Struthio camelus: one gene and its partners. The protein of the gene in region 1 purifies or fractionates together with the protein of each later gene. This does not show direct contact. Links are inferred from orthologs where the notes say so. Each region holds a gene or a part of one and is shown in the gene's direction. Other genes may lie near its edges.

Region 1 (7,273 bases):
GAGAAGAGAAGACTGAGAGGCGATCTCATCAGTGTGTACAAGTATCTGAAGGGAGGGTGTCGAGAGGATGAGGCCAGTCTCTTCTCTGTGGTGCCCAGTGACAGGACAAGAGGCAACGGGCATAAACTGAAGCACAGGAAGTTCTATCTGAACCTGAGAAAAAACTTATTTCCTGTGAGGGTGACAGAGCATTGGAACAGGTTGCACAGAGAGGTTGTGGAGTCTCCTTCCCTGGAGATATTCAAAACCTGCCTGGATGCGATCCTGGAAAATATGCTCTAGAGGACCCTGCTTGAGTAGGGTGGGGAGGGGGGGGTTGGACTAGATGATCTCCAGAGGTCCCTTCCAACCTCAACCATTCTGTGATTCTGTGAACATTTGATTCCTGGAACAATCTCATTGAAGTTAGCCACCTGCTTGCAGACAAATATACTTTGCAACACGCAAATTATCAAAAGGTCATGCTGAAGAGAAGAACAGCCAGGGGATAAATATCATCCATAATTCATATATTATTTTTCAAAAAAGAAATCCTATTATGTTAATAGATATTTTAAAGCCAAAAAATAACTATAAAGTAACCACCACTGTGACAGCCACACCCCAATGTCAAGGCAAGACTTCAGAAGATCTTCTGAACTTAGCTACAATGAAAAATTGCATCTATCACAAGGGTGGTTCCCAAGTCCCTTTGCGCAGCTTGTCCCACACTCAGGTTCCCCAAGAGGATTCGGCACTTTTCCGCATGCTCCTGTGCAGCAGTGCTGGTTGCACACTGCTGCAGTTTCTTCCACTTCAGCCCTCTGTGGTTTCAGTGAAATGCAATAGAAGTTCTGTTGTACTGTTGGGCAAAACTAGCTAAAACCATGGCTTCTCCTTGCAAAATCATCTGTACAGCTGTCAGACAGTAGTGGGATCAAGCAGACCAGCTAGTGCTTTAGCTTCAGGTTAATACATAGATTACGGAAAGATTATGAACAAATATCCGCTTAGGGTTTTCCCAGTGATCCTCTACTTCTACAGTGCTCTGGGTAGGATGCTGAGCCCAGAATTAACGTTTCAGCATTGACTCATCTCTGGAACTGGAAACTTCCTGTGTGAGGACACACTCATCTCTTGAGGTCTCAGCTGTGTCTTTAGCTGTGGACAAACACAGTGCCATCACGCTCATTCCCACCACAGTGTAGGTCCGCACAGAGCTTGCAGTTCATGGGAAACAGGGAGGTGGCAAAACTGTAAACAAAACATAAACAAAAATCAGACTTTTTAACATTTAAAAATGTGAACAAAAATCTAGCAATTAACTGGAGTGGGACTTTATGGGTGGAAGGAAAGGAGTGGAGAACTTAAAAGCTCTGTAGCAAAACTGTGATGCAGTCTTCAAACACCAGGAAAATATCTCCGTATTAAGTCACTTTCCCATTAGGGCATAAGCTTTTTGTGATTTTATTGGTTACGATAAATAAAACAGGTAAGTTTTCCAGGTAGCCTTCGTCTAGTGCTGCGGAGTTTCAATACTGTTTGATTTAGGAACACCTACATCACCTTCTGGTGATGCAACAGAATCTGAAAATTTCACAAATGCAGTTGGCAACAGCAGTTTTTATCCAACTGACAATAAAAACAGCTACATGCAAACAAAGTGCAATTGGAATTCTACGTGCTTATATTTTTTCTATTTTGATAAGATGGTTGAGACTTTTGGTACAAAGTAAATGAGAGTTTGGTCAAAATTAGTGAAAGTATCAGTTAAAGGGAAAAAAAAGAAGTAATGGGGTTATTTTATCTTAGTTGATACTAAAATTGAAAACTGCTCACAGAAATGCATTATTGTGAAAAGCATTAGAACTGTAATGAATGACCTTATCTCCAGTTCAGGATATTCTTCCGTTCTTCTTTATCAGAATTAAAGAGATTTCTCTGTGACTTCAGATTGCATTTTTGGACCAATTTATTTTCCTTATTCATTTCAAGAAGGAATGTCATAACTGGCAACACTGACCTCTGACCACGAACAAACAAATGTTTGTCTTTTTTCCTAGTACTTGTTGGTAAATCACTGAATGACTGAGATGTTTTTAACCACACAATTCTGTGTAAATGTGGCCATCTTACTTTCTCTCTTCAGCCACATACCTAATGCAAAGCCCAGAGAAGAGAAGCAAAAGAGCATTAAAAGGTTTCTGTAATGTTCGGGATGGCAACAGAAGAAAAAAACTGCACGACCTACCCATAGTTATGAGAGATGCCACATTTGCTTTCCTCAGTTGCCTTGGGACAATTAGAGTTCACGAACGTCCCAGTTTCTATGGACGATAGGCTTAGTAACACTTTCCTTAAGATATCTTGCAGCATGGATGGCCATGAAATGTGTGTTCAAACTACCTTGTCTGTCAGTTCAGCATAGCTGTCTTGAGCCTTTTAATTACAGTAAGCCTCATGAGGCCTTGCCTTGAATGCTATCAGAGCATTGGCCAGCTGGTCTGACTCTACACCGGTTGATCCAGAATCCGTTGAAAACAAAGGCATGCCCTAGACACATGCCAATTCCACTGCCGTAGGTTTTTTTAGAGTGGAAATGACTGCACTCAGCATTATGTGCAGTGGAAACAAGCCATTTGTTTGGTTTGTACTGCAAGGTGTAGAAAACCGCCTTGAGACTCAGGGAGGAAACTGCTTATGTTATCTCCAAGGCTGTTCTGCCTCTCCAAAACTGTATCGCCCGGCCCGTGCCAAGTGTTTCCCATTTATCTTTCAAAAGAGATGCCTTTCAGAAAATTGAAAGTTACATGTCACCTGCCCCTTCCAGATAAATGTGCTGGCTAGCAGAAGGCATAAATCAGACTATGCCTTCGTTTAAAAAAGGCAAGTATATGGATAAATGGGTTGTCTGGGAATTCCAGTAATGCATTGATGACTGACACGGGGAAACAAAGGACTAGTTCTACATTTGGAAAAGGCCAGAGCTCCAGAATATGCCAGCATTACATACCAGTGCACGTTGCGAACCTAAAAGGCTTCATAAGTACTAAATGGAGTATGGTTCTTTTTTGTTAATGTTTTGTTGGCTTTAAGTGGTGGTACAAACAGCCTTGAATGCCCTCCATGGTTGAGGAACCCTATCCATGAAATCCACTGTGGGGCCTCGCATGAAATTAAAACTCTCCATCACCACTGCGCTTCTTCCAGATCTACAAGAATCTAGGGCCTCAATTTCCATCAGGAAACTGAAACAGATTTCTAGACTGTCTTCTCTCATCACTCTCCTTTGAAAGTCAAGGGCCTGAGCAAGCTTGCCATTCAGCTTTAGAAAGGCTTCTTTCTTTATGTGCAAATTGTGGGCTGCTCTCGCCGGCCCACATGAATCTGCTGCTGCTTCAGTGGTATCTGGTGGCACTGATCTGTGAACACCACAGCATCTACAGGGCTTTGTGAAGAGCATAGCAGTTCCCCAGAATGGAAAAGGTCATTACAAAGCAGATAGTCATTCATCATTTCCAATTGTTTCACTGGAGAAACAGTTAAGAATGACTTTTATGTAAAGAAGCTGTAACGAGCCATTGTTTTTATATTAGAACACTTTTCCTAATGAAAGTAATGGAACAGGTCGGAAGTTATGGAATCTCTTTTACCGGTAGAATTACGACAAACTACATGAAATTTGTCAAAGATGGTCTAGACACCTCTGCAGAGCAAGAGGATGGACTAGATGGTTTACAGAGGTCCTTTTAGGTTACACCTTTCCTCCACCTGCTTCCGCAGGACTGTTACCTACTATGAGTACTCTCTTAGCGAGCAGAAGCTCCTGCCTCCATCTTCCTGAACAAGAAACTGCCTCGTAGGCCCTAAAACCACACCAAAGAGCTGCAGTCCCGCCATGCACCAACTGCAGGCCCTCCCGCAACGGCTGTCAGCCGCGGTAACTCCGACAGGTTATCTGGTAGCCGTGTGCCCAGACGCGGGCAGTACAGTACTTCGGGTCCGTGCTTCTCCCCGGGGCGCCGGCTGCGCGGCGAGGGCGGAGCGGGGCGCGGGTGGCACACGCGCTTTCCCAGCCCGGGCGGGCTCATTCCGCACGCTCCCGGGCCAGCGGGCGCGCGGCGGCTTCGCGGGCGGCGGCGGCGGCGGCCCGGCGGGCGGCGCGCCCTCCGCTTCCGAGCAGGCGCAGCCCGGCCGGGCTGGGCTGGGCGAGCGCCGAGGCGGCGGCAGCGGCAGGCCAAGCGGCCCAAACCTCCTGCCGGCGGCAGCGCGGGGCCGGCCGGCCGCAGGGGGCGGGAAGGCGCGCACGCCGCCGCGCACAGGCGCTGCCCGCCGCCGCGCCCCTCGGCCCGCTGGCGGAAGGCGGCGGCGCGGCGAGCGGCCGCGCAGGGCGCGGGGAGGTAAGGCCGCCCCGCGGGGCGGGAGGGAGCCCCGGCCGGCCCGGCTCGGCCCGGCTCGGCCCGGCTCGGCCCGGGGGAACCGGCCGCCGAAACCGGAAGTCCCGCGCGGGCTCCCAGTTGCAGAGGCGGCGGCGGGGGAGGGAGTGGGGGCTGCTGCCGCGGGCCGCGGCCACCTGCTGCCCGCGGTGGGGAGAGCGGCCCCGCGGGGCCCCCGCCCGGCCGCCCGCCCGCTCGCTGCGGCGGCCGCGTCGAGCAGAGGGTTTTCGCCGTCGGGGCCCGCGGGGCAGAGCGGAGCCCGGGGAAGCGGGCGGCGGGGAAAGCCCCGGGGAAGCGGTGCGTGCGAGGCGGGGAGGCCTGAGCGCGGCCGCCTTACAGGAAGCTGCGAGGAGGAGAAGGAGGAGGAGATGTCAAGCTGGCCGACAAGGAACTAGGCTCGAGAAGGCTCCCGTTAGGGTTTCTCAGAATTGCATCTGCTGCTGAAGCCGCACGTTTATTTCGTGCTCGCCTCGCAGGACGTTTGCTCTATGCTTCAGTGCGCTTCGGCTGCGGTTTGGGGCGCTTAGGCTGAAGCTGCGTCTGAGGCAGAGGCCTGGCCTCGGGGCTGGGCGCATCGTTTCCCCCTGACTGTTGGTGCTGCGGCGTTCGGCACCTTGCGGGACTGGGCCCTGGTTCGTGGTGGTTCCCTGAACTGCGCTGGGCTATAGCCACCTCGTTCCGGACAGGCTCTTTAAGGCTTTTTGAGCTAAGAAGGGATTTGCTAAAGCTGTGTTTTCACACTAGGAAATAACTTGTTAAACCAGAGCCTCCCTGGTAGTAAGGTCCAGAGGTGGCATTTTGCTCAAGTGTTTCTCTGCATCAGTGTGATGGGATCTGGGTGATGGGAAATTAGTTTGAGAGCATGTTTCTGGTAGAAAGCTGTTTGGTAGCAGCTAGTGCCTTCCTCTGACAGGGTCATACCAGTGTAAGATGGTACTCTACTGAAATGGCTTACTCTAATTCGCATATAAGAACATGCATTTTTATGAGCGCTTCTATCCTAAATTGTAACTAATTATTACAAAATATGACTGGTGCAAACCCCTGCACAATCCTTGTTCTTTCCTCTTTCTGCCTTCCTCTGCCGTATTCTGGTTCTACCAAAGAATCTCAGCCCCTTTTAATTGGCATCTTTGTCTCCCTTGTCTTGGTCCGTCCTTGTATTCCTGTAGAATCCCAGCTGTGGCTTGCTGTTGAGATGACACAAATATTTTCTTTGCTGTTTCCAAAAGAAAAGTTCATCCCTGAGCCAACAAGTGCAGCAGTGGAAAAAAAATCCTAGCAGAAGGGAAAGGTTTAGACTGAATGGGTCATCAAGGTTACAGTGATATAGCTGTGATGCACTGACATCTTTTGAAACGTCTTCACCAAGTGTGCAGCATTTTACGCGTGTTAGTGCTACAGGTTTTGTTTCCTGTTTGTTATTCTCTTCTCTTCATAATTGATACCTTGAAGTGACCAAGAGTTTTGGTGCCTGCAAACTTGTCCACTTTTTCTGATAATATCTTGTATTAGAACATCCTGTATTAACTCTCAAGAAACTTTGCATTACTAGTGTAACTAGACCACAAGTGCAGCCATTATCACTATATAATCTTTCTTCATATTACTGTGCTAATACCCTTAGCAGTCCCCCTTAATTGTGCAGGCTACCTGAGATCTGTATCAGATCAGTAACAATTTGTTAAAATGAAGCAAATTACTTTTGAATGACGATCAGACCCAAATGACCTCTAATGATCAGGTCACAATTTTGGGAGTTTCTGGGCCCTTTGGGGGCCAGTGGAGGGAACATAACCCATGATGTTAAAAAGAAAAGCCACAAACCCACGTTACACTGTTATCCTTCTCTAAAGAACACCCAAACGTATTACTGGGCAAATCTTCCCCTCTTCTAGCAGCCAGTATTCCAAATTTTTGTAGTACATGTTGACACTTCTTAAAAGTAAACCAACTTAATAAAGCTGTTCAGAACATCGTGTTAAAAAATAATTTGCTTAGTGATCAACCAAGTGTACAGATGAAGGGGACCCTATAGAACACAAACTAAACGCTGTAAGTATGCTTAGCTTGTGTGAGGTTAGGCTGAACTAACTTCAAAATTCCTGTTCACTCAGTATACTCATTATATAATATCACGGATATATAATGCTTATCCTGAAGTATCATAGCTACTAAGGATAGATTTGAAAAATCATGTATCGTAATAAAAAGCAGTAAACTTGGACTGGACTTGAGCCTTGGAGCTCTCCTCCTTGATTTCTCTATTATCTGACATTCCCAAGTAATATCAGTGAAGTAATATACCAAAGTAAGCAGTCTTTCCTTAAAAACCGTGCCAGAAATTGCTTCCCTGTGATGTCCATCCTAAAAAAACCCTTTGGGCTTGAAGCAAATCTTTGGTTCAAAGTTCTTAGAGTACTTTCTACTTTAAAAAAGAAAAGTTAGTAACATCCTAATACTAGAACATGCCCAATGGAGGGTTTTTTGCCCCAGTGTGAGAAAATCTCCTATGTTGAATGTTATCCAGTTCATTTCAGCGTTCATGGTGACTAATTATGGCTTGATGGGAAAATGCATTAGCAATTTATATAGGAAGAGTGTTGCTGTAGTTTGGGGCAGGGCTGCTTTTCATTAAGTTATATAGTAATGACTGTCAGGTAACCCCAAGCTATCGATAGCATTAATGTAACTTTAGGGATTTAGCTTTCTGAAATATATATCTAGTGTATTTGCATGATCATAAGGACAGAATATGTGGTTCTGTCCTGAGTAATTACTAGCTAGATGCATAATTACCATTATTATGCAAAAATTACTATAGATATGTGACTTTGAACTAATACTTGAAAGAGAGA
Region 2 (7,161 bases), on another chromosome or scaffold:
AAATCAGACAAGAGAAAAGTAAACTTCAAATACCACTAGACAATTACGTTGTATACTTCCAGTGTAGAAGAACTGTAGAGTACCTTGAAGTTGTAATTGCAGCTTTACAAGAACAACTGCAGCTCTTAAAAAATAAAAATAAAAAAAAAAAAGGAGGGTAAAATGCCTCCCTCTCTCTCTATATATAGAGAGAGAGAGTGCACAGTCTTTCAGTGAGGCTATAGCAGAGTTTTATTTTTGGAGGCAATAAAACTACTGAACAGTACAGCTGCACTCCTACAGAATTCTACATCTCTGCATGACGTTGCCTAAGGCATTGTTCATTGGACAAACAGCTGTTTTACTAAATTGGTTTTCTTGCTTAATTCTTTCTCAAGTATCCCTATGCTATTGCATCATTCCATGAAAAACAAATCACGAACATACTGTGTAAGGTTTGTTGCAACAAAACATTTCTACATTATCCCTTAGGCAGTCCTGCCCTGAATATGCATTTGCAAAGGCTAGTATTCACTGCTTGTTCTAACCAGGTCTAAGATTAAAAGGATTAAGAAAGCTCAACTTTCGGTGGTGGTTCAGAAGCACATGATTAGCAGAGCTGGCATTACAAGTGGTATCGATGAAACTTGCACTTCAGGTATGTGCTGCTCACTTCTGCCCTTTATAGTTATAATATGGTGTCCCTGACTTGTGTATGTGTGCACGCTGATTTGACTGGTTACCTGCCCCCCAACCCTATTGCAACTTTTCCAGAAGCATAAACCTTAACATAACCTTGATCAATAGTTGCTGTTTCATTTAGTTTCCAGTTGGAAACCTTGTTTTCATGTTCTTCTATATGCATGCTGTTTTATTTTGTTTTTTTTTAAAATGCTTCAGAGTCTGCAGTAAAGTTGCCACAGACTCCTATAGAATTAGTCTTTTAAAATGATACAAGCCTGCAGCTTCATTGGTATGACTAAATATAGTTCTATTTTTTTTAAACAGAATTTTGTCATTTACGCTACCTGAAGAGAGATTCACACATTCTTTTCAAACTTAGCAGAAAAACACATATGAGAAAAACTTACTGTACTCCTATTTTCAGCATACATAATATTGGTATGTTATTCACTTTGCTTGGACCAAAAGATGTAAGATATGCATACAGAAACGTAGCTTGATTGATATATAACCTAATGCATTCCTCAATTTTTTAAAAAACAGTTAGCTTTGTTTATCCAGATTCTGGTTTGTTGGCAATTACAGTACATGAAGAAAGTTAAGAATCAGTCTGTTGAAATCTTACACATCTTCACTCATTTCAGCCAGAGTTTCCAGAAAATTTGCACACAAGCAAGTCACCTCAATTTTATACAGTTCTTCCATATATTCATGTTTAAATGCTGCTGTGTATAGGGAAGATCATAGGAATCAGCCTTATGAACATTCCACACCGTAGTAGTATATTGGGCATATTCGCTGTTAGTTAAAACTGGACTGGTTTAGGTGAAACTCATTAATTTATAGATTAAGAAGGTGTCATTCAGTGATTTAATTACCAGAAAGTATTTCAGCCACTGCCATCAATGGCTGCCTAAATTTATGGTGAACTTGCCTTGGCAGTATTAGGGAATATCAAAACGTGTCTTCATTCATTCCCTAAAACAGATGTAGCATGTAATACTCCTTATACACACAATACTCTTATATAAAAGATTTTTATTTCACATTTACTAAAATAATACTAATCCTTCCTGGTAATGGAGTATTTCCTATGTAATAGGATAATAAGTACCAAACCTGTCTTCACTGTAACCATAGCAATGAATGTCCTAAAATTAAAGCAGGCTTCCTACCAGCACACATAAGATTATTTTACAGAGCAAAGAACAGGGTCACAAACAGCAGTGGCCACCTCCAGGTGAAGAACATATGATGGTAATGGCACAATCAGGAAGCTCATTCTGTAAGTAAGTTTTGAAAAACACTGATGATGGTCATAGGATTTTCACCTGTGCTTCACAAAGCTATCTGCATCATCTCAAGAGATATTCGTGATTTATTATTTTTGCTGACAGCAACTGTAAAATTTTACATCATTCAGTATAAAATTCTAAATTTGTATCATCCTCCAGACTAGTCTTCTATGTTTGTTTCCTATACCTTTTCTGTCCTCAGTTGTAGGCCAACAAAAAAACCAAACAACACTTCTCCTACTGAATTAGCTCCTTTTTTTAAAATAAGGAACTATGACATGTAATGAATGATATTAGCAACACCACTTATATAAACAGATGTAACGCACTCACCTTGATCATACAAAATCTGACTTTTAGATACATGGAATTTTTTTTTTGTTTTACTTAACTAGGACAATCTACAAAATAGCCCCAACCTGTTATGAAAGTAGATGGAGAGAAATCCAATTCGAGGCAGAGATATAAATCCAAAGCTCTCTAAATCACAGCAAAATAGGACCATCTCTTCTCAATCCTATCTAATCTTACTAGAACGCTCTCTGCTCTGCACTCATACTGATTTGCAGTTCTAGGACATGAGAACCAATCGGAGAAGACAATGTAGTATTTCAACTTAGAAACTTGGACACCCCCCCTTCAAAAAACTTGTACACAGCTCATAAATATTGCCTATAAATATGCAAAAGCAGCTTCATAAGCATATAAGAATTAAGAAAGTGAAGGAAAAAGTGGAAAAAGTAAACAAAATAGTAAGTCAATCTCTTTGGCAATGGATGTGGTGAATGTTAATTATGAATGTGAATGTAGGTGAATGTGACTATTTGTATGGTCATTTTTGCAAAAAGCAGGTTCTTCTTTTCTTTCATAAGGCTGCAGCCATACTATCTCATTATATATATATAACCTCTTCTGTTAGCCTTATGCATTTGTACGGAATAGGTCCAAGGAGAGATTGTGAGAAGAGATTCAGTGGGCAGCCCTTTTCATTCTCAATCAGCTATGGCTACAGGCTTGGCAGCAGGGACACTGCAATACCCTTACTACCCTGTAATGACAGATACTGAGGCAAGAGCCTAACCATACCAGGTCAGTAAGAATCGAGGTACTTTTTCAGAGCACAAAACAGTCAATTGGAATCTGACCAAATTCTAGTTCAGGCAAAATTACTTTCTGCCTCCCTGAGTTTTTCCTCTGCTGTTCCAAGGAGTACGTTATTTTTTTTTTTTTAAACAACTGAGCATTATTCCAGAGAAAACCATGCTTCAACTGCTCCATTTTAGCAGCACATACAACGGTTTGCTGGGTTGTAAATACTTCAAAGTCCTTTTTTCTTGAAGATTTTCTATCTATTGCATCCAAATTCACCATACATGGTGGATGAGGCTTCTGTCTAGTTCAGTTGACAAAAACAGGCCAGAATTTTAGATTTAGAGAGAGCAGCTCCAGCTGTGACACTAATGCCTCACACTAAGTCACTTGATGGGACTTGCCAGGTATACCATGGGAACAGCAGCACAGGGCAGAAGTATTGAAGATTACACAACAAACGGAAGCTCAACACTCTCACGTGCCTGTACAATCATTATCCTCGCCGTGAATGAGTTCAGAGGGGTACAACAAGAGAGGAACGCAGGAAAGATTTGTTGCTGCGTAACCCCCCACCAAAACGCCCCGCCATACGTGCCCTGCGCTCACCAGTCTGCATTCGCTCAACGGAAGAGCCTGCTGCACTGCACAACTGCTGGATCTGCCACTCAGCGGCTCCTGAGGTGGGCCTTCGTCGTCTGAAAACCGGCTTAGGAAGCCTGCAGCCTACATGCACGTAGATTATGTACGCATGTCTGTGTGTACTGCTACCTATCAATGCGATTCCCAGCCTTCCCTTTCTGGGCCTCCAAGCTGAAGCCCCCAAGACACACAAAAACGCGCCCATCTCACTGATAGGACAGCACCGTCCTCACCCCCTCCTTCTCTGCCCTCTCAGAAGGGCCCAGCGGCCCCACGCTGCCCTCTCGGCCCCCTTTTCCCGCCCTTTCTCCCCCCCAGGGCCCCGCTCCGCACAGCCCTGAGGCGGGCGCGCCGCCATTTTGTGCGCAAACGGCCCCCTCAGGTGGCGCTGTGGATCGCGCGCGGGTGGACGCCTCGCTCCCGCCGCCGCCCCGGCCGCCATTTTGTGGGGGTTGGTCCGCACAGTGGGAGCGGAGCTGGGCGGTTCCTCTCCTGAGGCGGGTTAAAGAGCAGCTGCTGGCTGCGCGACCGAAAAGTAGGCGGCTGATAACCATTCCCTCGACCCCGGGTACCTAATGGCTGGAGTCGCGATAAAGTCGTAAGGGCTGGCGAGGGCTGGCGAGTGTGGCTCCGCAGCTGTGCAGTGAGGGGAAGGTGGCAATATTCAGTCCCCTCTTCCCTCGGCGAGCGGAGCTCTCTGCCTGGGGCAGGGACTGTCTATGCGTGGGGGCGGCTTTGGTCGCAGCAGCGTTAAGAGGAGCAGAAAACGCTCCGGATGTCTCATCCTGAAACTCGCATTAGAAAGAGAAAAAGGGGCCATGCTGAGCGCCCAGGGTCTTGTGCCTCCCCCCGCCCGTGCTCGAAACCACGCCTGGTGCGGGGGAGCCCGTTGCGAGGCCGGTACCGCCCTCTCCTTCTCCCTGCGGCACCGCTTCCTGCTCCGGACCTGGCCCCGCCGCTGTAGACGAGACCTCCCGGGTGCGTTATGCGTCCCCTCCTCCTTCCCCCAGGCAGTCACCCCCCCCCGCGCCCTCAGGACAGGCGCCCCCAACGCGCCCTGCTGCGGGATCGGGCCCTCCTCCCGCTGCGGCCCGCTCCGGCGGAGGGCGGGCCGGGCCGGGCCTGGGCGGGTGCGGCGAGCCGGGGCGCTCCGCGCCAGCGGGGCCTGAGCCCGTCCTTGCTCGTGAGGAGAAACGAAACCCGGCGCTGCCCTTCGGGTGAAACCTTTTCGACCTGCAGCGCGGAGTTTCCTTTCGCTTCATTTTTCAAGTGTGAGTTAAAGTGACGTAGTTAAAATTGGGCGGAAAGCTGTATAAACTCCCTAGGGTAAAGCCAGTTTATTTCAATTTTTGATCAGGACCGGAGTGTTAAACTAGCTCACCTTTAAATGGAAATGAGTGTAGTCACTACTGGTTTACACCAGAGCAAATCATTAGGCCTCATACAATGATGAGGAACGTGGAAGTTACCGTGGGCTTTCCCTGAATGCCTCGTAGCAGATCCTCTTTCTTTACAGGGGTATTTGAAACTTGTATAACACGCCCTGACATATGCAACAGTTTGAAAGACGTCAGATGATACATGCTCAAAATGAGCGCTGACCACCTCTGCATCTTAAAGCAGGGGGAGGGGCCACAACATACAGGTAGTACCTCCTTGTAGCAAGGTAACCCGCTCTCTTTGCCTGGCGTAGGGGCTCCTACTTGGGCTCGTCCTGTGAAACAAAGAGGGCTTTCCAAACAAGAACTACACTTACTGATGATATATCCCGTTTTTGCTGCTGTAGAGATGTTTACTACAGTTGTGAAACGTTCAAGAAACAAATGCTGTCTCAACTGACAGACTGTAATTGGAGATGACTTTTAAAGTGTGAAAGGTTTCCCTGCTTCTCTTGAAAGACTTCTGCTTCTTAATTTGAGGCCTGATAGATGACTTTGTCATAATTAGTACAGGACACTTTTTTGCCTTGCTAATTGAACTGATGTTAGTATGTTGTGCAGCATTTGTTTTGCAAAAAGTAAAATTGCTTGAGCCTTGTACATACACGGGGGGAGTTAACAGAGCCTTACAAGTCTTTGTGAAGTTCTAGGATATTGTTATTTCCCGCACCTTAACAAAAAAAAAAAAAAAAAAGAATCCTGGTCCTTGATTTTGGATGTATTCTGCCTGGATTCTGGGCAGTGAGAAAGTTCAGAAAATAGGAGTATAATTCATTTTATTACTCTCATAGAAGCCAATTAACATACTGATATTTTCTTAGCTCTTTGCCTAGCGTGGAAGGGAAATGACTATTGTGGTCTGAGAAATATACTTGCTAATTTTCTCAGGTATTTTATCTTAATAAATCCTTACTTACAGTGTAATATCCAGGGTCAAAAGTCAGTGCAGACTTAGATAAGCATGCCCTCGACAAGGATGGTTTCCCATTGCAGTAGGTGAGAAATTCATTAAGGAATGTCCATTCAGACTTAAAATCTTCCACTTCCTTAAGGAAAGTTAAAAGCAGTAACTCGTATTTGAGTGTGCTTTTGTAGTAATCCTCTTGAGACATGTTTTCTCTCAATCCTCTTTTGGGGTGACAAGGTGACTGATGAGTCACTCTAGAATCAGTCATTTTTTCAAAGACCTTATGACTATTTTCCACAAGAGCGCTTGCCCTGTGAAAATTTGGTGTGATTGTGAACTGAAATAGCTAGACTTACAGAAAACTGCCTCCTCCCCTGTCCTTCTCCCTCGAGGTGCCTGGGGCTTTCCTGGTTCTTTGATTACAGGAACAAAAAAGTAGTTCTTTGTTCCATGTGTAGGCTTGGCCCCTTCACTCACTCTGCCCCTGATATTACTGAGGCAGCCTTGCAATATCCTCAGATAACAGCGGTGTAGGTTGTTGTGTTACAGTTGTGCTATTTGCAATGATTTTAGATTTTATTTAAATGGAAATAAGTGTAGTGCTTCAGGCACAGCTGATTTTTTTAAGGTACGGAGCACCGTCTCTTTTAAATATCTTCCTGCTCTGTAACTTCTGTGCCGAAATCTTTATGCAGTGGAAGCAACACTGAACGGAACAGAAGAGGAAAGTCTTTAAGTATTTTCTTGCAGCAATATTGGCAAATTACATGCACACATGAACACATAAACTACAGGAACAGCTTTCTCTGCTGACTGTGAACTTGTTTCTTTTCTCCTCAAAAGGTGTGCTGTTTTCCTCTCCCTCCATTTTGTAAAGAATTTACGTTCAGAAGCTCTTCTTGCTGCAGAGCCCAGGTAATCTAAAAATTGAGGGCTAGACTGCTGGGTTATGCATTCTGTCATTGCTTTTCTCTTTTTCTTTAGTTGTCCATGTTTCAGCTATAACTGCACCAATGATGTTTGCAAAAGCTATCGTTATCAGATGGAAGGGTGAAACAAGATGCCCTTCACCTCTCATGGAGAAGTGGGTCTGGCTAAAACGCGTGCAGATGGAATGCATCAGGTT
Region 3 (7,249 bases), on another chromosome or scaffold:
AAACTTCTCACTCCTCATGAAAGAAGGAAGAGGAAAAAAATCAACTTTTTTCTCTTAGCCATATGTAGTCTTCAACAAGTAAACTACCTCTAAATGACATTAGAAGTCTCCTCTTAAAACCATGTCTCTTGCAAAGTCATTCCCACATTATTTTGGCTTATGTGACAAAGCCTAGATAACCACCATGAGCTTAGATGATACCCCTGCTTCGTTAAGGTGCAAGTGATGCCCCTTCTGGGTAACATCTCCTACAGCACATCCTACAACACTTGTAGTATTGCTGACTCCTCCACTGCTCCCAGCCACTCCATAGGCCCACTGAATTTGATGGATAAGGGATTGTCACTAGCAGAAGCCAAGTTTGACCTCATCTGTGGCTTCTTTAAGTGGAGAGGCAAAAGCTCCCTGCTCTGCCTCTATCGCTTCAAGTTGTGAATATCCCATCAGGTAGTATCAGTGTTTATTCTGCCTTTTGCTCAGTTTGTCTCATCCCAAGACAGTAAAAAGCCATTAATCCGCTTCCCTATCCACTGGAAACAAGTACCACGCTCTGGCTGGAGCGATGTGCTCTCAATTGCTAGAAGGCTGGGAAGGCAAAACGAAGAGACTATTTAGCGAGACCCTGACCACCACCCGTACCCCAAACAATGATCTACTTTATTTGCTCTCATGAGCTCATCCTGGATTGGCCATTGTAGGATCAAAAAAGCCTCCAAACTCGAGTAGAGGGACTAACCTGGTACCTGTCCTTCTGTCTAGTTGCACTTGTAAATGAATATGCCTGCAAGGGACTGGATCAGCTGGAGGAGAACTTGCCTTTTCTTCAACAGCCAGCAGATAAGGTAAAGCAAAGGCTTTTTCCAGGGAAGCCATGGCTCACTCTTCTTGCTTGATATAACTGTTATGGGTACAGAAGTATATGGGGAAACTAACTTGGGCAGTGCTGCTTTGTCAGGTCAGTTCCTGGATATGGGCTACAGCTGCCTGAGCTAGAGAAGGCATTGCTAGCTGATGAAAGCCGAGGCTCTGCCTTCAGCGTGTGGAAATAGATTTCCATGTGAATACAGATGTACTGATTTCCTCACCTTTCCCACAAGAGTGCAGGCACAGCATAGCCATGTGAAAAGCTCCCTGAGGGAGGGAAACCTATTCTGGAAAAATGCATCATCTTTCTCTGCCTCACCTTGTTGTAGGTCATCTCAGACACCAAGCAGCTGGTTTCTGCCAAAGTGACATCTGCTATGGATGCTGCCTGTGAGGCAAAAGAAGCAATGGCTGATAAAGTGACTGAAGCGGTGGACCTCACTAAAAATGTTGTTGGGGACAGTGTTAAACTGACCAGGTCAATGGTCACCTCCACTGTCACCAGTGCTATGGAGGCTGCTCAGGGTGCAAAGGAGCTCGTGACTAACAGGGTGACTGAGGCAGTGGACCTCAGTAAACACATTGTGGAGGACAGCATTGGACTGACCAGGTCAGCAGCTGCTTCTACTATCGTCAGTGCTGTGGAGGCCGCTCAGGGTGCGAAGGATCTTGTGACTAACAAGGTGACTGAAGCAGTGGACCTCACTAAAAACATTGTGGAGGACAGCGTTGGACTAACAAAGGCCGCAGTCGCTTCTACTGTTACTGCGGCTGTAGGGGCTGCCCAGGGTGCAAAGGATCTCGTAACCAACAAAGTGACTGAAGCAGTAGACCTAACCAAAGAGGCTGTTCAGGATGGTGTTGAGAAGACTAAATCAATGGTCACTTCTACAGTCAATACAGCTCTGGATGCTGCATATGGCACCATAACTAGCAAAATGAATACAGCCCTGGAGCACAGCAGAGAGGCTATCCAGGAGGGGGTGGAGCTCACTAATTTCATGGTGACCAACAGCATAAGTAAAGCCAAGGCAATGGGCCAAGCAGTGGCAGGTGGTGTGGAATCTGTCCTGGATATATCAGAAGATCTGGTGGATCACTACCTCCCCATGACAGAGGAGGAGCTGGGTAAGAAAATGCTTAGCTGGTAGCTGTAACTGCAAATCACTTTCCACATGATTAGAGAGCACCTGACACTGCAGGAGTCATCTTTTGAAGCAGATAGGTAGCTCTGAATATCACCCAGTTGGCTTTCTGTCACCACTGACGTGCTACGTGGTATAGGACAGAGTTCAAGCACGTGCTAGCTACTCCTTGGTTTGCCTATCAGCCTCAAGGCAAACAACAACTGGGTACATGCTTCAACCTATTTGTCAAGTCTGCTTATCTGAAGAGAGCCCTTCAAGCTGGGACTGGCCTAGTTGTAATCTCTGAACAACTGCCAACCCCTACCACTTATACAGCGAGATTTAGCTTCCTCCCATGTTTCACAATGGGCAAATCTTACCTTTTCCCCCTCACAGCTGGGAGAGCAGAGCATGGAGACAAAGGAGTGAGGGTAGAGGCAGCTGGGCTTTGCCCTGATGGCTCCAGGGCCAAAGGGGATGGGGCACAGGGTAGAGAAGAGACATCTGTTGACAGCTGGATCTCTGTACCCTCTAGGTCAACTTGCCACTGCTGTTGAGGGATTTGATATGGCCTCTGTGGAGGAGCAGAAACAGCAGCGGAGTTACTTTGTGCGTCTGGGCTCCCTCTCTAACAAAGTCCGCCTCCGAGCCTACCGGCACTCCCTGAACAAACTGCAGCGTGTTAAGCAAAGCACGCGGGATACTCTCTCCCAGCTGCAACTAGCAATAAACCTGGTACAAACACCCTTTTTCTTTTCTATCCCACTCCGCAGAGTCTTCTTTCCCCCTGCTAGCACCCAGATGGAGGTGCTTCCTCCATTCTGCACCTAAGGTATGTTTTCTGCTGCATGTCCCTTTGAGTCCCTCCCTGACAGGTAACACTGCAGAATGTGATTCTGGAAGCTGCTTCTTTATAACATGACTCCAGTGCTTAGCAGACAGGAGCGCTTGTGCTGCTTTGTATGTGCTTGCAATGTAACTGTTCCTCATCTCTTTCCATCAGATAGAGCGTGTGAAAGACGAGGTTGGCCAGAAGCTTCTGGACGGGCAGGAGAAGCTCCATCAGCTATGGCTAGACTGGAGCCTGACCCAACCCAAGGGACACCAAATTAAAACTGCCTCCCAACCAGAGGTATCCCTAGAAGGGTGTAATCAGACCTTTTGTGGATAGCGGGCATCTCATCTGCTACAGTAACTGAGCTGTATTCTTTCCTAGCAGGTAGAGTCACGGACCCTAGCTATGCTGCATATCATCACCCAGCAGCTACAACCTGCATATGAGAATCTGAAAGCCAGCATTCAAGGCCTCCCCAGCAACATCCAAGAAACTGTACATCAAGCCACTCAAAGCATCCAGAAGCTCCACACTTCTTTTTCCAGTGCTAAGTCCTTCCAGGACCTCTCTGGCAGCACCTTGACCCAGAGCCAGGACTGTGTGAGGGAAGCCCAAAGATCCCTAGATGACTTGCTAGAATATGTAACTCTCAACGCCCCTCTAAACTGGCTTGTGGGCCCTTTCAGGGCATCAGCCAAAGTATCACAAGACAGCAGAAAGGAGAAGAAATGCAGTATGATGACTGATATGAAATCACCTGCTTTGGAAAAGGGTATGTCACCAAAGGAGGTAGCTGAAGCCCCCAAGGAATCAAAGGGGGCAAACAGGATCCTGGGGGAAGGGTCTAAAGTGCTAGACAGGTTGGAGGAGAAGGTAGAGAAATGCACAGGAGAGGTGACAAAACCTGCAGAGGAGATAGTAACTAATGCACCAGAGGAGGAGCTCTGAAAAATCCCGGTTCTTCTAACCCAAACCCCTTGGCTAGAACTTCTTTTAATCATGTGCCCAGCTGCCAATCTTACAGGAATGCCTCCTGCTCTGACACTATCCCAGGCTTTGGAGGTATGTAGCTGAGCTTACAGAAGATGTAGTTTGCAAGGTGACTTGATAACCAAGGTGGGCTGATTCTGGCATAAAGGTTGCATACCTTTTACTAAAGCATGCTGCATTGAAAGGGAAGATGGGGACCTGTATTTTGGCTTTTTAAATAAGTCAGCACAGCTGTGAATGGCTAGTTCTTGCTGAGAGGAGTTGTAGGAGAGAAGAAATGGTCTTGAAACTTATTTTTAATGTTGGAGCTTTTTTTTAATTAATCCAAGCTGCATCTTAAGAGGATGATGCACTTGGCCTCTTTGATACTGTTCCCTCCTGCTACAAGTTTAGAACTCAGCATTACAGACACTACTTCCTTCCTGACTGTGCCACTTCCTGTGAGGCTGAGACATGCAGCAGACCAGGAACAGCTGGGGGCAAGAGGGTCCTTCCCAAAGGAGACCTCTCTTTACAGAGCAGCCAAACACTTTTCCTTCAGAGAAACACTTACAAGGTGGGATTTTTCTTTTGAGCATGCCAACTTTCAGTGAGATTACTTTCTTAATCCATGTAAGTGACTTTAAGGACCGTCTGTTTGTGTTTAAGTAACTCCATGCATGAAACGTTTTGCAGCCATTAAGAAGCTGGTTTATGAGGCAGCTTTTCCCAGGAGTTCTCTACCATGGTTATGGGATATCTTGTCATTAAAATAGGGGTGATGGGTCCTGTTTTCTTCCCACTAAATAATGTTTTTGTAATTATTCTTAGCCTAACTTATTTAGGTAGCCCATGTCCTGGTATGTGAATAGTGCTAATGCTGGAGAAATGGAAAAAGGCAAACAGATTTCAAAATAAAATTTGGACTGTTTTCACATGAATATCTTTCTCTCATGTATCTAAGGCTGCAGCAGCTCTGATGAGCAAGCAATAGCATCATCTTCTCCCCTTAACCTGAGCCTGTAGGAAGCATTTTAAAGAATTACTTTTCTAGGCAGTTCATCTCCTAATTGCTCTTTTCCCCTCTGGCTTTTCTCCCCTTTGCTAGAACTAAACACTCTGAGCTGGACCCAAGCTCTGCCTCAGTCTTTAGTAGAAAAGTATTTCGACTGTCCTGCCTCCTGGAAGCTTCTGCCTGTACCCCTGGGCTTCAGCTCTGCCCACCCCACTCCCAGCATCAGCCCTACTTGCATCAGTCTCCAGCTCCAACCTCCACCCGACTTGCCTTAACCATCTTTCTGTCCTCCTACTGCTGCCAAACCCCCATGCTTTGAGGAAACAAAACCAAAACTTTCGCTAGACAAAAAAGGTTCGTGTTCAGGGTCTGCTCTCAGCTGCTCGGTGCTACCTTCAGAGGAGGGTAAGTACCGGCAGAGGGCCGGGCTAGCGCCCCGGGCCGCTAATAACCGACCTCATGGTGGGGCGGGGGGGCTCCTTCCGCTCAGCCGCGCCGAGACCCACCTGCCTCGGGTACCGAGTGCTGCCTCCGGGCCGGCCGGGGGAGTCCCGCTCCGCACCGGGCTGCCCCTGCCCCGCTCCGCCCCGGTGCCACCGGGCTGCCCCTGCCCCCCGGCGCCCCCGCTGCTTCCCGCCGCTCCGGGCTGCCCCTGCCCCGCTCCACCGCTCCGCCCCGGCGCTCCCGGGCGCCGCCGCTTCCTCGTGTGACATCAGGGCCCGTCGGGGAGCAGGCGGCTCCCCGCGGCCCCGGCGAAACCGAGAGCGCCGCGTTTCCACCTGCCCCCGGCCCGCCTGGGAAACGCTGCCCGGGCGCCGCCGCCGCATCCCCCCCCCCCCCCCCCCCCCGCCCCGCGCCGGGGGAGCCGGGGCAGCTCCCGCGGCCTCCGCCGAGCCGCTCGGATCGCCGCGGCGGCGGCCGGGCCCTGCCGGAGGTAGGCTGGTCCCTTCGCAGCGCTGGCCCCGGCTCGCGCCTCGGGGAGGAGGGCTGCAAGAGCAGGCGGCACAGAAGAGCGGAGGGGGCGAAGGTGGAAGCGTTACTGAGGGTCGGAGGGCAGAAGGGGGGAGAGATCGGCCTCGGGGCCCTGCTCGGCTCCCCACCGGTTTTTAAGAGCTCGTCGTGCAAGAGAGCAAGCTCAAAGCTGCAGGCTCTGGAGCAAGATGCCCAGCGAGAGGGAGCAGAGAGTTAGGGGAGTAGTGGGAGGTTTTGCTGACTCACAGAGGGGTAGAACATAAATAAGTGTCAAAGGTCTCCTCTACTGTTTTTGAATGCCTGGACTTCCTTTTTTCTTTTTTTTTTTTCCCTTCCTTTCCTTCCTTAGATGTTTCACTGAATCAGAAGTTTTCATAGAAAGACAACAACTTCCTCAGGCTCAGCTTGAGCTCATTCATTAAGCAATTAGAGGATTTTTATGAGATAGAAAAACAATTTGAAATTACAAACTTTCCCCAGAAGTTTGGTTGTTGAGAGCTATTTTTAAACACATTTTTTTCTGGCTTTCCTTTAAATAGAGAAAGATTTTTTCAAACGGATCAGTCGCTGCCAGTGCATCTTCAGCAACTTCTCGCCTGCCTGCCACAGACCTGCCGGAGGCCCAGACCTCCCTCGCTCTACGGACAAGTGCTGCTGGCTAATTTAACTCCGTTCAGCTGGCTTTGGTGAGTGCAAAGGCTTAGCTGGGTTCAGGGATTAGATGCATATGACCATAACGCGTATGTCCACAATTACATTAGACAGCTTGAAAGTGGACGCGAAAGGAATACAAACCTTCCTGGCAGGGTACGAGCGATTTGAAAAGACGCGGAGCCTGTAATCGGCAGGAGGCTTCCTCTAAGCGGGGCTTTATTCCTTAACTGCTCATTACAAGGATGCTGTGAGGCCCCTGCAATCAGCCCCTGCCCAACAGAGGCCACTGGTGGAGATGGACTGTTGATATGAACCAGCTGGACACTTGGATTTACCTAAATATAGTATTAGTTTAGCAATTATTTTAAAACAGTTTAGTTGACATATAACGAACGTGAAGGACTTGCTGTTTGCCTAATAATAGACTTGGGATAATGTGTGGAGCACGTTTCAGACAAGCCTCGGGATATGCAAGTACCAAGTAGATGCAAAAATATTTATCTACAAACCTTTCGAGGAGTCTCCCAAGCTCCCTGCCTCACTATTTCTGAACACTGCCCTTTTTTCTACTCACAGGTTCATCTGGCCAGTTCTTCAAGGCAGAGACTGTCCCTGACTCTGAGATGAGCCCGTGAGCAACAAGGACCTATTCCTTGTGCAGTACTTAAAAGTACGTACGACCAGGGCTTCAGAGAGCACCATAAGGAAACAAACCTTTGCTCTAGAGACTGTAATATGCTTTTTCCATCCATGCTTCTTCAGCGCATTGTCTGGAGAAGCAGCTGATGAGATGGCACAGAGTGCTGAGGTCCA
Region 4 (7,593 bases), on another chromosome or scaffold:
CTTCAGCACAACTGTAACAACTCCATTTCCCTCCTTCAAAAAAACTGAACTGGCTCACAGCTCTTTACTAAATCAATTTTGCAGAGATATTGGCTTACTCTCTCTCTCTTATCTTTGGGCATCAGTCCTCCCTCACCATTCCCCTTCTCCTGGCTGTAGCTATTCCACTTTGGCCCTCCATCTGCCTGGAGGGTGCTGGAGGAAGGAAGCTGCTCTCTCCTCTATCTCCATCTTTCCTTCCTTAATTCTTGTTCCCTCTATTGCTCTATTGCTCCATTTCTATTTCCTTGCCTTTCCAGCCTGCCTGGAAGTAGTGGCCTACAGAAGAACCAGGAGCATTAGGGCATCTGGGCCTGTGGGAAGCAGGGGGCCGAAGCTGGTACAGGTAGTTGAGGAGAGCTTGGGAGGAGCTGTGTGATGCTTACAGCGCCGCCCCTTCTACCATCGGTCTCTGTAAGGCTCTGCCGTAGGAACAGAGCAAGTGCAGCAGGCTGGCTCTGCTTGAGTGACTCTTTTCCAGATCAGCGCCTGCAAGCTTTGCCGAACATCATGACTTTCCTCCCAGCCCCAGCCTCCATCATCAGCAAAACAGGGCAGAAAAAATTCTCCTTAAACCAATCTCGCTTGTGACCAGCAGAGAGAAACTAAATGATATGATGGCTTTTGCTGGTAATCCTATAATAGCTTCTCATTGTGTAAAATTTCTGAGTACTTACAGCAGCACCTTGCAGGGGCTGTCCTACTGACATTGTGCTCCCCCAGGGCATGCTGTTCAACAGGGAACATCTTTTATCTACTGGTCCAGCAGAGTGAGCATGCTTCCTTTTCTACAGAGAAATCATTTGTAAAAACAGGAAGGCAGTAGTACCACTTGGCACCAGAAATGCTGTGTATATAGTCCCTAGCGCTGGGAACAGAGAAGCAAAGAGAAATAATAAATACAGAGGGGGAGAGAGAGAGAAAGAGAGAGAGAGGAATGAGAAATATGGGAGTTTTAAACTGACATGAGAGAGGGAGCTGTGCTTTAAGATAACTCTAGATCCGGTAGTCACTGACTCATACAAGGAATTTATTTGCGTGTGGATGAGGTTCAATGGCCGATATCCTGCATTCTTGGGGAGCTTTTTGCTGTCTCATACAGCACAGTAATTTCTGAGAGGATTTACTAAAGATAAGAAGCATAAATAAAACAAAGGGAAAAGTAACTTTGATCAATATAACCAAAAAAACTGTTGGTGCAATATTTCATTTAGCAAGTGCTGCATACAGCTATTGGTCTCTGTGAACAGTTATTCACGAAGCAGCATACAAGCATCAGTAGCATTTTCCTTCAGAAGACTGCAAAATGCTTGAGAAGTACCCATTTAGCACTGCAAACAGCCCTATCGGGTAAGTCTTATCATTCATGTTTTGCAGAGAAGTAGCTAAGTGCTTTGCTCAAGGTTAGGGCTGGGACTCAGTGGCAGAGCCACAGTAATATCGAGGTAGAATCTGGCACAAGTATATTCACCACGTGAAAATGTTTTGCACCAGAAGGTCTGTGTTCCAGCCCAAAGGGGAAGGAAAAAGATAAACCAGAAGGACAATAATCAGTGAGTGAGAACTGAAGTCAGACCCATTTGAATTAGGAATAGGGCACGCTTTTAACTGCAAGAGGTGACTAACCATCGTGCAAACAAGGAAAATGGCAGCTTCTCTATCTATCTTCCAGAAAGTTGTTTTCCTCTCTCTCTGGGAACAAATTCTGCCCCATCTCACACACCCACACACACACCCACACACACACCCACACCCCCACACACCCACCACTCTTTTTAGTCTCAGTAGGAGTCAGTTATGGATATGAGAAGACAGAAATGACTCCTAAATTCCCAGTCCCGCAATGCGATACACCCTGGAAAGTCTCTAAGCACTTGCTGATTTCAGTGGTGCTTTGTGCAAGGACAGGGTCTGCTCATGCTCATCAAGGTGCATGCCTGCAATCTTCAATGTCATTAAATAAGCATAAGCTTTTGCTGCAATGCTGAAGAAAGTGACATCGTGTTTTAAAGCAGATAACTTGTCTGTTGCTTGTTAACTACAAAGACAGTGCTGTTCTATACGGGTTTCTGCAGCACCATGAACTTTTAATAGGGATAAGAAAACAAATCTTTGTTAGTTCTAAACCTGTTATTCCTAATTTTAATTTTAATGCTGACTCAAGGCCCATTCCTATAATTGCTTATACCCACTCACAGCTTTACAACCACAAATAGTTCAAATGAGATCAGTCAGACCAAGCTTGTACATAAAGCTAAACATGAGGAAACTTGTTTGTACACTGAGATTTTAGATGTAGCATTTTCTTCCATCTTTGGACAATATAACCTTTAAAATACTGCCTGTGTATCCAAGTCTGCTTGAACAGCTGAAAATGTGTGCGTCTTGCCCAATGGGAAAGGATATGAACTCTTTGTATATTTGGAAGAAAGAGATGTAATTAAACAATAGACAAAGGATTTACAGGAAGGGAGCTGGAATCCTCTGGCAGGAGTCCCTGCAGCAAAAGCCATAATTCTATAGAATGAGGTTAATTAACTGGCAATTATTTCTAAAGTGCATCTGAATATAATACATTTGCCACAAAGATGTCAGTAAAAGAGTATCAAGTGACTGCTGGAAGTCAAGACTACTTAGTACTCCCACCCTCACCACAACTGCACTGCTACACTTGACTAAAACTGCACATCCAGCATGTTGAAGACCCTTCAGTTCTGATTCGCAGAGAGAAATGTGCTTTTCCCAGAAACCCCTGGTGCTGCAGCCAGTCTGCCCGCCATCGCTCACTTCGAGAGATGCCAATCACACACCCGGAAGGCTCTTCAGCTGACTTACAATGAAAGTAAGTGATGGGAATGATCCCTCTTTCTTCCCTCCTGATTCAGTAGGGCTGGTTAAATGGAAACGGTCTTTCCTGAAACTGTCTACCTCTGCCTAGAAAGGCAAAGATAGGTTCTTAAAGAAGAGCAAATTCAGTTATCTCTGTGTCTATATCGCTTAAGTAGAAACAGCAAAGTGAATGTGTTGGTCTAAGTTTCCTTAGGGAATCTATTGACAGGAAACGGCCCTGAATATAGTCTAGATTAAGAGCTCAATATCAATACCCTTTTTACATACACAGATGTCAGGTATTCCCACCCCAGGTCCTCCACATCCCAGGTGAGAGGCAGAGAGATGTGTAACAAGTGGATTCATGACACCTATGTAGATATGCTCCAGTATGAACTAGTTCAGCAGCCAGGTCAGCTCACCTCTGGCCCTGCTTTGCAGTTGCACAGCACCTTGCAGAGAGCTTTCAGTCAAGATAGCTGAGAATCAAGGTGGCAGGGAGGGAAAAAAGGAAGGCCTTAGTCCGCAAGTCTAGCGAAGAGCATGGAGGAGGGAAATGTAATCCCCACCTAGTAAAGGCCTGATTCAGATCATGATCCAAACGGAGAAGGAATTTGCAAGTGTTGGCTAGTGGACTTAGCAAATCGTGCAAAGAAAAGTCTGTGCCCTTTCTGTGCTGTAATAGGACAGAATATGGAAAAGTGATGCTGGGGTACAAGGGCTGGAAAAGCATCAGCTTGCCCCAGGTGGGAAAGCCTGTGGCGCAGATCAGAGAGGACCAGGCAGGCACGCTGCCAGGGCTGAGCAGGGAAATCAAGGCAGCCAGTCACAGAGCTGTTGCCCCTGCAAAGCACTCCCCACACATTTTTCTGAATAGTGAACCAGAGCAGAATCACTCCATGCCAGCGGAGGGGCGTTTCAGCTGGTCCCAGCAGTTTTGATCCAGCTCTTTGACAAACTACAAGTGATTTTGCTGTTATATCTGACTCCAGCCTACCAGACATTGCTCCAACATGTGGTGGATGATGAGAAGCATCTGTGAGCTGCTCTGGACACCTTCCCATTGCTGGCCTGAGGGTATGGTCCCACCATCTCTTTGTTGTGGCCTGCAAATGAGGGTGGGAAAGGGCCTTGACCACCCTGGCAGGAAAGGGACTGCAAGCTGAGGAAAGCGGAGGCCTCTTGTGGTATCTACAGGCCAAGAGTGCAGCTGACAGCTGGTATCTTGGTTTTAACCATACTTGGTCTTCCTTAAAAGCTGCACACAACACAACTGACCGCCAGGCTTGCTTAGGGCTATTTGGCACCCAAGGTAGCCCCATTTCATCTGCCTCTCCTCCCTCCTCCACACACGCCTGCAATGATGGTAGAAGGGCGCTTCTTTCCCTCAATACTGACGGCCTCCAGGTAAGAGGCAAGAGGCGTCTTCCTTCACCCGAGAAAAGAGGAAAGGGAGACGACAGGGAAATTTAAAAACAGTATATTAATTACCAATATATAACATATTAATTATTAATTCATATTAATATGTATAAATATGGAGCAGCGCAGGACGCAGCACTGCCGCCGCGCCCACTGCCGGCGCCCACCCGGGGCCAACGGCCGCCCCGCGCGCGCCCGCCCGCCGCGGGGGGGGGGGGGGGGGGCACTGTTACGCGCATGCGCCTGCCCCCGAGCCGCGCCTCCTCCCCATCGCTCCCGCAGGGGAAGGGGCGGGGCCGCGCGCCACTGGGCTGCGGCGCCCCCCCTCGGAAGCGGTGCGTGCCGCAGCCGTTGGCTGCGCGCGCCGCCGGGGGGAGGAGAGGAGGCAGCGGCCGCCGCCGCCGCCGCTCTTGCCGGCGGACTCGGCTGCTCTGGAGGAGAAGGGCCGGGGTGGGTGGAGGGGGGGAGGAGGTGGAGGAGGGAGGAGGTCGCTCCTGCTCCAAGATGGCGGCGCAGAGGAGGAGTCTGCTGCAGAGTGTGAGTGGCATCTTCCCCCCCTCCGTGCACACGCACCCCCCTAGGTGTGTGTGAGGGGGGTCCAGGCCTCCCTCTCGCCTGCTCCCTGGGAAATGGAGGGGAGGGCACTTCTGTGGTGTTTGTGGAGGCGGGTCGTTGCCTCAGGGCGGCGGGTCCCTGCTGAGGGGCCCGGCCTGGGGCGGGACGGGGGGGGGGAGGACCCTGCATGTTCAAGAGTCTGTTCCCTGAGGTGCCCTGCCGCTCTGCAGCGGGGCATCGGCGTGTGGGGGGCGGCAGGTGGCTGAGGGGGGCCGTGCCTGGTCTGGAGGGGTCAGGGCAGGCCTCGGCAGAGTGTGTGTGTGTGTGTGTGTGTGTGTGTGTGTACGCACAGGGAGTGTGTGACAGGGAGCTGGTGGCCTTGAGGGTGCCTCTCTAATTGTCTGCAGCGACAGGGCTATCGCCCTCTTTTCCTGGGTGGATGTACTCCAGCAGGGAGCCAGAGCGTTGCCCGTACTCCCATGCCGCAGATGCGTGAGAGGCTGGTTCACCAAACGGAGTGCTAGTGCTGTGCTGTATCCAGTGTAAAACTCAGGTGCAAATTTCAGTTCTGGTTTCTTATTAGCAAGAGCTGGAGGTGCAGCCAGAACTCAGCTTCAGAGGGAAAGAAAGTGGTAAGCGATCCAATTCTGCAGCAGTGGCAGGGAATATGAAGTTGCTGGCTGGGGTGGTGTGCTACCCTTTTAGCAAAGGTGAGAAGGGCTGAGAAGAGGGTGGGGATGGTCTTGTTGCCCATGCTGAACCTGGATCCTCACTTCAGGCTGCTTGCCATTTACATAGTCTCTTTCCTCTTCCTGTCTCCCAGGAGCAGCAGCCCAGCTGGACAGATGACTTACCATCCTGCCATCTCTCTGGGGTAGGCTCAGCTCCAAACCGTTCCTACAGTGCAGATGGCAAGGGGACAGAGGGTCATCCCTTGGAAGATAATTGGTTAAAATTCAGGTAAGTGGGTTAACACAGACCGTTGCAGACACAAGGACAGGTAGGAGTGGTGGTTGGCTCCTCACAGTAGGACTTGGAGGTAGAGGGTGGGGCCAGAGCATGCAGGAGTTGTCTGGAGGAACTTGTTTTGTATACTTCTTTCTGTCACAGACCTCTCTCACCTCTTTGCTTCTGCCCTCTCTGGACAGGAGTGAGAACAACTGCTACCTCTATGGTGTCTTCAATGGCTATGATGGCAACCGAGTCACCAACTTTGTGGGTCAAAGGCTCTCTGCAGAACTGCTGTTGGGCCAGCTACATGCAGATCACAGTGATGCTGATGTGCGCCGGGTTCTGCTGCAGGTAAATGAGATTTGGCTGAGAACAGCCCCTGCTTCTCACAGGACCCACCTCCTCTTTTTTTGCCACCATGGGAGCAGCATCTGGTTTCTGAGGGAACTGGGAGCAGTCTCTGCCAATAGCTGAGACTGCACTCATCCTGAGCAGCTGTAGTGCTTTGTTTCACTCCCACCTCATACCCATCTGTCCCCCTGGCTCAGTCAGCACACTGCTGAGAGCTCTGTGGGAAGCTGCAGCCAGTCTTCACTGGACGTGTAGGGAAGGGACAAGTCAGCCTGCGAAGGAGATGACAATGAGTGAAAGAGAATACTTAATGTGTGGGGCGATGGATTTGTGAGCATACTTTCTTGAGTGATAATAAGTTTTTTACAGTCAGCACACAAAATCAGGCAGGTCTCTGACATTGCTCTGAACATAACTTTTATATTTTTGTCCCCTGTTTTGGGTAGTTGCAGTTTGTTTTTACAGACTAGTTAACTAGTTGCACCAAAATAATTGTTCTTAGGTGTGATGTAGTGATTCTTGACTATCTGTAGAGCGATCAACCACTCTGGTGAGCCCATTTTGGTGTGGTGGGGGTGGGCAGCCTGGAAGCTCTGTAGATATTAGATAAGAGCTCAGTCTCTCTTATGGCCTCTTTTAGGCTTTTGATGTGGTAGAAAGGAGTTTCCTGGAGTCCATTGATGATGCTTTGGCAGAGAAGGCCAGCCTGCAGTCTCAGCTACCAGAGGTAACGTAGTCTTAACAGCGGAGATTGTGGGAGGTCCCTCCCTCCAGATTGCTGGATGAGTCTTAGAGACGCTATTCAGTCTGGTCCAAGGGAGGGTGTACTTGAAAACTATTACTCTTTAGTTCTTTTCTGGGGGCCTGTGTGAAATGAAGCAAACGTCTTGGTCCAGTTCCCAGAGGTGCCACTGTGTTCATACTGGCCCTACTTAGACTCATCATTGGTCGTCTCAGAAGAGGGGTGGAGAACTGAACGTATCATGGAGATGAGTTCACCTCTGTGCATGTGGCTCTTCCAGGACAAAGCCATATGACACAGATAAGAGACAGGGCCTCTGCATGGCATCTGGGCAGATGTGGATTCTGCTCTTCAGGTGAGCTGGACTGTCTTCCCCAGAACCTTACCAGAGCCATGTTATTTATTTGTTAGGGTGTTTCTTTGTCACAGCCTCATGCCAAGACTGCATAAAGACAGTTCTCCTCCTTGCAGCATTCAGATTCCAGCTGTGGTTTCTGTGTTGTGGGTTGTGTGTTTAAGCTTCCCCCGGTGTCTTGGGTTCCAGGGTGTCCCTCACCACCAGCTGCCTCCTCAGTACCAGAAGATTGTGGAGAGATTGAAGGTTGTAGAGCAGGAGATCTCTGGAGGAGCCATGGCTATTGTGGCTGTTGTTCTCAACAACAAGCTCTATATCGCCAACGTGGGTGAGTAGTTCTTTGTCGGCC

What was found.
Region 2: the proteins of RIPK1 (region 1) and CFLAR purify together in Homo sapiens (affinity purification with western blotting; 5 studies listed by BioGRID and IntAct, with this or other methods). This does not show direct contact. The link is inferred for Struthio camelus from reciprocal best matches to the Homo sapiens genes RIPK1 and CFLAR.
Region 3: the proteins of RIPK1 (region 1) and TICAM1 purify together in Homo sapiens (affinity purification with western blotting; 4 studies listed by BioGRID). This does not show direct contact. The link is inferred for Struthio camelus from reciprocal best matches to the Homo sapiens genes RIPK1 and TICAM1.
Region 4: the proteins of RIPK1 (region 1) and TAB1 purify together in Homo sapiens (affinity purification with mass spectrometry; 3 studies listed by BioGRID and IntAct, with this or other methods). This does not show direct contact. The link is inferred for Struthio camelus from reciprocal best matches to the Homo sapiens genes RIPK1 and TAB1.

The regions. Positions count from the first base shown.
Region 1 is NC_090943.1:104,667,374-104,674,646, reverse strand, and holds the start of RIPK1 (receptor-interacting serine/threonine-protein kinase 1), read left to right. Parts: upstream 1-4,268; 5' UTR 4,269-4,379; intron 4,380-6,485; exon of another isoform or gene 6,486-7,273. UniProt on the Homo sapiens protein: Serine-threonine kinase which is a key regulator of TNF-mediated apoptosis, necroptosis and inflammatory pathways.
Region 2 is NC_090947.1:10,403,048-10,410,208, reverse strand, and holds the start of CFLAR (CASP8 and FADD-like apoptosis regulator), read left to right. Parts: upstream 1-4,160; 5' UTR 4,161-4,667; intron 4,668-4,831; exon of another isoform or gene 4,832-4,960; intron 4,961-6,188; exon of another isoform or gene 6,189-6,663; intron 6,664-6,878; 5' UTR 6,879-6,950; intron 6,951-6,971; exon of another isoform or gene 6,972-7,158; intron 7,159-7,161. UniProt on the Homo sapiens protein: Apoptosis regulator protein which may function as a crucial link between cell survival and cell death pathways in mammalian cells. Acts as an inhibitor of TNFRSF6 mediated apoptosis.
Region 3 is NC_090967.1:4,658,302-4,665,550, reverse strand, and holds the start of TICAM1 (TIR domain-containing adapter molecule 1), read left to right. Parts: upstream 1-4,246; 5' UTR 4,247-4,372; exon of another isoform or gene 4,373-4,735; intron 4,736-4,903; 5' UTR 4,904-5,215; intron 5,216-5,316; exon of another isoform or gene 5,317-5,462; intron 5,463-5,660; exon of another isoform or gene 5,661-5,744; intron 5,745-6,321; 5' UTR 6,322-6,468; intron 6,469-7,012; 5' UTR 7,013-7,226; coding exon 7,227-7,249. Other genes in the region: perilipin-3, read left to right, coding at 760-842, 1,194-1,992, 2,527-2,726, 2,995-3,123, 3,208-3,774.
Region 4 is NC_090942.1:57,995,362-58,002,954, reverse strand, and holds the start of TAB1 (TGF-beta-activated kinase 1 and MAP3K7-binding protein 1), read left to right. Parts: upstream 1-4,588; 5' UTR 4,589-4,794; coding exon 4,795-4,827; intron 4,828-5,668; coding exon 5,669-5,805; intron 5,806-5,993; coding exon 5,994-6,147; intron 6,148-6,787; coding exon 6,788-6,874; intron 6,875-7,433; coding exon 7,434-7,572; intron 7,573-7,593. UniProt on the Homo sapiens protein: Key adapter protein that plays an essential role in JNK and NF-kappa-B activation and proinflammatory cytokines production in response to stimulation with TLRs and cytokines.